2 linked regions of the Macaca fascicularis genome follow. The protein of the gene in region 2 purifies or fractionates together with the protein of the main gene of each other region. This does not show direct contact. Links are inferred from orthologs where the notes say so. Each region holds a gene or a part of one and is shown on either strand. Other genes may lie near its edges. The genes, in order: GIT2 and PAK1.

What was found.
Region 1: the proteins of PAK1 (region 2) and GIT2 purify together in Homo sapiens (affinity purification with mass spectrometry; 5 studies listed by BioGRID and IntAct, with this or other methods). This does not show direct contact. The link is inferred for Macaca fascicularis from reciprocal best matches to the Homo sapiens genes PAK1 and GIT2.

The regions. Positions count from the first base shown.
Region 1 is NC_088385.1:116,866,907-116,871,460, reverse strand, and holds the start of GIT2 (ARF GTPase-activating protein GIT2), read left to right. Parts: upstream 1-1,452; 5' UTR 1,453-1,593; coding exon 1,594-1,645; intron 1,646-4,554. UniProt on the Homo sapiens protein: GTPase-activating protein for ADP ribosylation factor family members, including ARF1.
Region 2 is NC_088388.1:76,357,623-76,362,000, forward strand, and holds the start of PAK1 (serine/threonine-protein kinase PAK 1), read right to left. Parts: upstream 3,074-4,378; 5' UTR 2,288-3,073; intron 1,357-2,287; exon of another isoform or gene 1,150-1,356; intron 1-1,149. UniProt on the Homo sapiens protein: Protein kinase involved in intracellular signaling pathways downstream of integrins and receptor-type kinases that plays an important role in cytoskeleton dynamics, in cell adhesion, migration, proliferation, apoptosis, mitosis, and in vesicle-mediated transport processes.

The sequences.
Region 1 (4,554 bases), on a different chromosome or scaffold from region 2:
CATGGACTAGAAGTAAACAATGCATTATCTTAATTTTGAAGATGAGATTAAAACTGAAGCCTAAATAAGGAATCATCTAATATATTATTTTTTGTTATTTTTGTTGTCGTTGTTGAGTTGTTTTTGAGACAGTCTCACTCTGTCGTCCAGGCTGGAGTGCGGTGATGTGATCTCTGCTCACTGCAACCTCCACCTCCCAGGCTCAAGCGATTCTCACGCCTCAGCCTCCTGAGTATCTGAGATTACAGGCATGCGCCACCACGCCCGGCCAATCTTTTTTTTTTTTTTTTTTTTTTTTTTTTTTTTTTTTGAGACAGAATGGAGTGCAATGGCATCATCTCGGCTCACTGCAACCTCCACCCCCTAGGTTCAAGCTCCTGCCTCCGCCGCCTCCCAAGTAGCTGGGATTACAGGCACCTGCCACTGTGCCTGGCTAATTTTTGTATTTTTAGTAGAGACGGGGTTTCACCATCTCGGCCAGGCTGGTCTTGAACTTCTGACCTCGTGATCCACCCGCCTCGGCCTCAGAAAGTGCTGGGATTACAGGCGTTTGAGTCACCGTGCCCGGCCAATTTTTGTATTTTTAGTAGAGATGGGGTTTCACTATGTTGCCTAGGCTGGTCTCCAACTCCTGCCTCAAGTGATCCGCCTGCCTCAGCCTTCCAAAGTGTTGAGATTACAAGAGTGAGCCACCGCGCCCAGCCTGGAATCATATAATATACTCTTATTTTACTTTATCTACCTCAGTAAAATGCAAGCTTCATAAGGACTAGGAATTCAGTCTTTGCTCACTGCTGTTTCTCCAGTGGCTGGGACATTGTATAAAACATGGTAAGTACTCGATAAATATTTGTGGTTTTTTTTGTTTTTTTTTTTGAGGCGGAGTCTCGCTCTGTCGCCCAGGCTGGAGTGCAGTGGCCGGATCTCGGCTCACTGCAAGCTCCGCCTCCCGGATTTAGGCCATTCTCCTGCCTCAGCCTCCTGAGTAGCTGGGACTACAGGCGCCCGCGACCTCGCTCGGCTAGTTTTTTGTATTTTTTAGTAGAGACGGGGTTTCACTGTGTTAGCCAGGATGGTCTCGATCTCCTGACCTCGTGATCCGCCCGTCTCGGCCTCCCAAAGTGCTGGGATTACAGGCTTGAGCCACCGCGCCCGGCCGATAAATATTTGTTGAATAAAGGAATGAATCAATGAACTTGACCATTGATTGCCTCAGGAAGGTTGTGGCTGCAGGGTTCTCATCACAAGATATTGCTGCTTCCCCTGGTATTAATCAGTTGGGACGAGGGGAATCTCTGCCAGAGAGGGAGATCCAAATTCAATATTTAAAGGTAGGACAGATGATGCTCCAGCAGTCTCCTGCCCTCACTCAAGATGGCGACAAGGCAGCGTGCCCTTTCCGGTCACATGACCTGACACTCGCAGAAGGGCGCCTCCCCGCGCTTGCGTGCTATGCCAAGGCTGCAAGGCACTGAGGGGAGAGGCGCCGCCGTCAGCGCCGCCGCCGCTGGGACCCGTTAGAGCGGAAGCGCCGCCGCCGCCGCCTTTGCTGTCCCCGGGCTTCTAGTTCCCGGCAGGTGGGAGGCGGGAGCCATGTCGAAACGGCTCCGGAGCAGCGAGGTGTGCGCTGACTGCAGCGGGCCGGGTGAGTCGCACCGGCCGGGCCCGCTCCCCTCTGCTTTCCTGGCCCGGACCCCTACCCCGGGGCCGCCCACTCAGGTCAGGCGGCATCCTGCGGTCAAGCGTCCGCAGCCCACTACTAGGGTCTCAACGAAGAGGTCCCGGGGCGGCCTTGGGGCAGGACGTGTCCCGGGCCTGTCAGAGCCTGGCGGGCAGGGGGCCGCCGCCCTCCCAGTACCTCGCGGCCCTCCCTTTCCTCTCGTTCCCTCTAGTTCCCTCCCGTTCCCTCCGTCCCAGGCCAGCTGGGGAGGTGACGGGGGCCAGGGCTGCTCCCCCAACAGGAAGGGGCTTGGGCAATACACAGGAAAGCCAATTACAGAAGTAAAATGCGAGCGTCCTCCCGGCTGCAGCCTCCAGAGGCTGCAGGTGTCACCTCCCACTAGACCCTCTCTCCGCCTGGGTGCCCTGCCCGGGGAGGATGACACTCCCTGAGTCTCGCCAGAGGGTCCCCGTAGATGACTTCCCCGCTCCTGACATCCGACAGCTACTCTGTCGGGGAGAATTGCCAGTAGATCGGGGTCTTCCAGACACAACCAGCACTTAGGAGGCAGTGCGTGTCTCAAGTTTGAGGATCTGAATGGCCTGGGTTCAAACTAGATTTTGCTTCTGGGTGACCTTGGGCTGGTGACTTCACTTGGTCACTTGGCTTGATTTCCTCATTTTTTTCGATGAGGATAATCGGGAGTATCACGCTCAGTGGTGAGGAGGATTCAATGAATACTCGTAGGATCATATCATCTAAGGCTTTTCTTTTTTGCGTTATGCTGTCTACAATAGAACACTTGCAGTCCCTTAAAGCTAGAATTGACTATCTAAATCATACGTTGATTACAACTGAAACAAACGCAAAATCACCAGCAATATAGGGGCATTGAAACGCTAAACCATTCCTTCATAATGATGCATAACTGTTCATACATAATATTCACATTTAGAGATCAAGCGGATCTCAGCAATTGCAACTGAATTGTCAGGTCTCTGGATAGATTATTACATGCTGTTTTAGGTGCTTGGATGTATTGGCTTTGAGTTAATTCGAAGGTAACATGGCTTTCTTGGCACAATAGTGTCCGATAAACAATCTTAATCAAATCATTGAACACCACTGGCTTTGCAACTGTTCTAATCTTCAGCTTGTCATTTGGAAGTGAAGACTGATTGTAAATAGAACTGTGATAACTCAAACCTCATGTGGTGGTTTTAATGGCTGGTACAGTGCAGGTGTTACCAGTTTCCTTTGAAGATAGGGAGGGGGTGTGGAGGAGTTTAAAAAGAAGCGTTTTCTAAACCAAGTTAGTGTGAGTTATACAAACTCAAACTCCATCGTTTTCTCTAAAAATGTTATTTGTTCCACTTCCTTATTTTCTTGCCTGTTTTCAGTCGAACTTTCTGTGATGTGTTTGATTCATATGTGTCCAGCTTCTAACTTCCTCTTGGAATGCATATTGTTTTGCTTCTTGATGGGGTACGGGGCAAAGCAAAATTGTTCCTCCATTGCCATCCTAAATATACTTTTGCAGCATTTTGTGCATTTCAGAACATTTTCTCTTCCATTGTATCGCTTTAGTTGTTGTCTCATACGCCTGATCTGCAGAGACTTGAGTCACTTCCTTCCTGTTTTGAATATAAGTAGGCTACCTTGAAATATTCTGTGAAATTGAGCAGCCTGGAATTTGTGCTGCCTTTTCTGCAAAACCCTACTGAGAGAATTACCTGTAGGGTTAGGGACCCCTTTGAGATTCTGAGGAATGCTAAGGCCTTCTCCCCTAAAATGCACGTGAACGAATTTACCTAAGATTTGTCTAGGGGAGTCACGGACATTTTTGAAGTTCATTTGTGGTGTCCCTGGAGCCCAGGCATAAAGCCTCCAGATGAACTTAAAGGGTTTTACCCAATCTCATTCATACAAACTTATTTTTATTTTACCACGTTATCATTCTAATATTCTTTCCATGGGATTCTGATCCAGGATGCTAAAGTGGTTAGTCGAATACTTGTCTTAATTAATATGTGTTAAATACTTGCTAAAAAAAGAATAGTGCAAATCCTCTGAATGGTAAGTGAAAACCAAAGGTATACTTCAAAACAGTCTTTTTTTTTTTGGCCATTAGTGACAGTACAATACCGCAGGAAGCAGTGTTGTTATGCATCTTTGTAGAGCTCCTTCATCTGGACATTTCCAATCTCTGCTTTTTAGGATGATATAGTAATAGTGACAGTTATAATAAATTGAATTATTTTGATTCTATTTTATGCAAACATTTAACCATGATCACTTCTTAAATATTCTATTTTTTTGTGTGTTTGTTTGTTTTTTTAATGAATCTGGTTCGTTTCAAATACATCACACTCTGAGTTCAATTACTTGACAACTCCATGGAGATTTTCAATACAGTAGTATAGTGGTCACATGAAATGTTCAATGTTTTAAATATTTCCCATCAAAAACTTTTTCCAGTGATCGTGAATTTCACATCTAGAAAATATCTGAATTACTGAGAAAATAATTTAGAAAAGATATAACAGCTAACATTACTACTTTACTATGTGTGAGGTACCTCACTGATTCTCTATATCCTCACTATCCTGAGATATGTTATTATTCTCATTTGAGCCATGGTGAAAACACTCAAAGAAGTAGCTTGTCTGAGATCACTGTGCAAGAAGTGGCAGAGTTGGGGTTCAAACCCTGAATTGCTTGTCTCTAGAGCCAACCCTCTTAACCACCATAGTCACTGGCTCCCAGGATTTGTCTTTGATTGAAAGCCCATAACTTTTCATTATATGGTTTGAATGGGTTTGAATAAACTTAAAAAATGGTAAAGATGGTGTACATGCATTTTAGAGATTTTTGTGGACATTGAAGAATTTTTA
Region 2 (4,378 bases):
AGAAAAACGGGACAGCGGGAGCTGGCAGGGTGCTTGTTTTTATCAAGAGCAGATCTTTTAACCCTGTGGTTCTCAAACTTTAGCAAGCATCAGAATCATTTAAAGGGCTTATTAAAGAAATTCACAGGCTACCGAAAAAAGGCACAAACTCAAGTAATTACAATAGAGTGCTATAGAAGACCATAAGAGTGGTATGTGTATGAGCCAGAGGATGGAAGAGCAACTCATTCTACGCAGGAAAAGGAGAGACTAAGGGACTGCATCGCAAAGGCCCAACAAGGACACCTCCACAGGCAGGTAAAGGGTGGAAGGGAAGCATCCAGGAAGAAAACAGAACATGCAAAAGCGAAGATGAGAGTGGCAGGGGAGCCACAGAAAGTGAGGCTGCAAAGGCAGGCAGTGGTCTGATGCCTGAGAGTTTCTTATTCCATGTTAGTCTGAAATTTATCTTCAGAATATGAAGAGTCAGGGGTAGGGGGCATTGATGTGGTAAGGTTTTGTTTCACGGAAATCTTTCTGGATGCACAGTACCTTCCTTTGAGGCACTGCTTCCTTCAAACCTAGCACTGGGACTCAAAACATGCGCTTAGTAAATGTATATTGAATTGAACTGAACAAGCTTTTTACCAAATGCCCTCTTATGGATGAGGCAGGTCACCTTCCCTGCAGGACTCACTTTGGCCAAGAGAAGACTTGTAAAACAGGTCCAGCAGCCTCAATTATTGCACACTACTACCTGTACAACTGGAGTCCCCCAGAGATTAGGGCAGACCTTCATTGTTTACTTGTCTACCTCACCCATTAGACTTTGAGCTCTTTGAAGACCGGGAATATCTTAATAGACTGAATCCCCATAGCCTTAGCAAGAGGCCTGAAACATAGTAGCTCTCCAAACTCCAGTAATGTTGGATAAATGAATTGACTGAATTAGCAAATTCACCAAGGCAGACACATGAGTTCATGTAGTTAAGCGTATGGATAAACTTCAGGGAAAGTATGGGAAGTTTTCAGCGTCAATGTTCCCAAAACCCTTTTTGAAAGGCATAGTTGCTAGTTGGGGGGGGGGTGGGGGTTCTACCCACGTGATTTAGAATTTTCCAAATAGGAACCAAAATGTTATAAGTGCTGTGGTAGAAATCTCACCGGGCCAATGGGAAAAAGTCAGTTCTGTCTGAGAGGAGGGACAGGATGGAGGCCAGCAAAGATTTCACAGTGTGGGAATTCTTCAGTGGACTCTTGAAAGCTGAGTTGGTGCTTGCTACCTGCCCGTTTTGGGGCATAAAACCAAACTTCTGGAGCTTTTAAGGCTGGAAGTGACCTGCTCAAGGTCACACAAGAAGTAGATGAAGCCACAAGGTAAGAGATGAGGTATCTGTACTGATAATTCCTACTTTCTCCTGACAGAGTTGAAAGAGAACCCACAAATGTAGGAGGCAAAATTAAAGATTTTTCTCAAGAACAATTCTTAAAGTCAAGACTAACGAATTGAATTTTTATTAGTAACCACAGAACTAACCCTTCCCTTCACTGTTCAGTTTTTGTAAGAGTAGAACAATTATCCAAGGGGTTTAAAAACCAAGGACGTTGCTCACAACCCACTACTTCTCAAGTATTCTTCCAAAACATTCCCAGTAATGTGTATTGTTGAAATAGGATAGCGAAGACTACAACAATCATGTCTTTTCAAATGGATTAATGAACATAAAATAACTATAAATCTCCTTTCCCGGTTGTTTTTCACTTCCCAAGTTACAGAATATTCCGCGGTGGGGGAGGGGCTGCGTAAGTCAAGTCCTACCAGCCCTTATTTTTCAGGGAGTAAAACCCTAAAGGTGACTGTCCAAGCCTAGAAGGGATCATTTATTCCATGCAGAAGGAACTGGGGCGCCGCTTTGCTGTGCCTCCTCGTAGTGGGACAGGGTGAGCTCTGCAGGACTGCAAAGTTCGGAAGGGACTCGGTCCCGGACCGGTACCCGTGGGGGCTCCCGGCCCCAGCCTGGCCTGGCCCCGCCCCGCCCCTTCCCTCTCCCGGGTCTCTCGATCGCCCGGCGTCTGAGACCCGCGACCCCGCCGGTGAGCGCACGGGGGGCCTTTGTTGGCCCGACGGGAGCGGGCCTCGCTGGGCGACGCCCGCCTCACCTTACCTGGCGCCTCCGCCGGCCCAAGCGCCCGGCCCCGCCACGCGAGATAAATGGGCCCAGACCCCTACTCCACCCGTCCCCACCCCCGCGCCCCAACCCTGGCAGCCCGGGACGCGAGGGGTACCGGGCGGGAGGCCCGCTCTCACCTTCCGCGCTCGCTCAGCTCCTCTCGGCTCCTCCTCCTCCTCCCGATGGTGGGTGCCGCCGAGCCGGGAGTGAGGGCGCGAGTGTGTGCGAGCTACCGCTTCACTTTCTCCCTCCTGCCGCCGCCGCGCCGCCAGTGCCGGGGATCCCCTCAGGACAGGGGAACTGCGAGGGAAGGGATGATGGGGGGGCGGCAGGGAGCGAGACGACGCGGGGCGGGGGCAACGGTGGGGGGCTGAGGGGCGAGGTGCGAAGAGCTCGGATGGCCTCTGAGGCAGGAGATGGGAACTGGATGCGGAGACCAGGTTCTTCGAGGGGGCTCACGAGAGCGCGGGGCTCCGTGAAAAAGGGAATAAGAGTCCGAGGGGGAAAGCGTCTATGGAGGAGGACGGCGGAGCCTGCGAGGGAGGCGCAATAGGCGAACGAGGGGGCGGGAGCGTGTGGGGGAAGCCGTGAGGGGGCGTCTACTGTGCAGCCGCCACCTTCGGCTCCGGCTGCAGCCGCGGCAGGGCCGCCTCCCCCGCCTACAACTGCGCTATTGTACGCCGCTAGGCGGGCCTGACCGCCTAGTTCACTGGCTCCCCTCCTCCTCCTTCTTCCCCCTTACCCCCGCCCTTTCCCCCTTCCCTCCCCCCCGGCCTTTCCCCCTCCCCCGCGCGGCGGTGGCTCCGGCGGAGCCGTGCCCGCCCCGCCTCCCGCAGGTGGGAGGGGGCGGGGAGCGCCTGACCGACCCGTAGGAGCGAGGCCAAACCCTGGCCTGCAGAAGGGCGAACGCCTGGGATTGCGTCATCGGCGCGTGACGCCAGAGGCTGGGGAATCACCCGGCTGCTGCGTGACGTCATCGCGTCGCGTCACTCTTCTCGGTCCGCTGTCCTTGGCCGGCAGTTTCCGTGCAGCATTTCTACCAGACAATTTTGGGACTATTTCTGGGAGGGCTAATGGTGTAGCCAGGATGGAGAAAGACGGCTAACTTCCGTGGCTGAGGATCCTCTTCAGGTTAACGAAGCACCACCGCATCTATAAACTCGTTGTCAAGGGCTGAAGTTGAAAACTATCCGACGTTGTGTGATCGCAGAGCCAGACGTGTATTATGTTTTCTTTGTGTGGGAGGTGGGAGAGGGGACGGGGATGGGAGGAAGACAAAGAAATTATAACGGAGAAGTTTGAACTACTGTGAACTGATATAGGATTGTGAATTGATATAAACAAGAGTTAAGTTCCTGTGGCATATTTCTGGTCACAAGACATCACCAAACTTCTAAAGACCAAAACACCTCTAATATCAAACATTGACATCAATGTGACTTATACATACATTTAAGAAAGATTAATAAAAAGAGGCCAGACCAGGTGCCTTGGCTCATGCCTGTAATCCCAGCACTTTGGGAGGCCAAAGTGGGCAGATCGCTTGAGCCTAGGAGTTTGAGACCAGCCAAGGTAACATGACAAAACCCCATCTCTACAGAAAAATAAAACCCAAATACAAAACATTAGCCAGGCATGGCAGCACACACCTAAGGTGGGAGAATCACTTAGGAAAAGAATGGGCTTCCTTTCACGTTTTTTCTCTTACCGTGGAGGATACTTTCGATCCAAAGCTTTCTCCTGAGCTCAGATTGTGTATTTCCCAATACCTTCCGAGCAGCATTACCTGCATACTCGTCGTACCTCAGATTCAATATGTGCGAAACTGAGACAGCATTAGAAAGGCTGAGAGTCCGGGATCAGATTGCCTTGCTTGAAATCCTAGCTGTTCAAATATTAGTGATAGGACCTTAACATTTCTAAGCCGTCATTTCTCTGTAATAATAAGTAGTACCTTAACTAGGTCTTCCTAAGCCTCAGTTTTACCATAGTAATAGTAACAAGCCCTTTAGAATGTTGGCTCCCCCCCAAAAAAATTCTTATTTTGAAATTTCCCCCCCAAAATTGCTTATGTTCCTTTCCGTTCTCAATGAATGAGCCACCATTCAGCAATCCCCTAAGCCAGGAACCTAGACGTACTAATAGATCCTCATTCTTCCTCTCTCAACATCCATATCAAGTTGGACACCAAGTCTTGTAGCTTCTCCTAAATATTTTTCAAGTCCTTG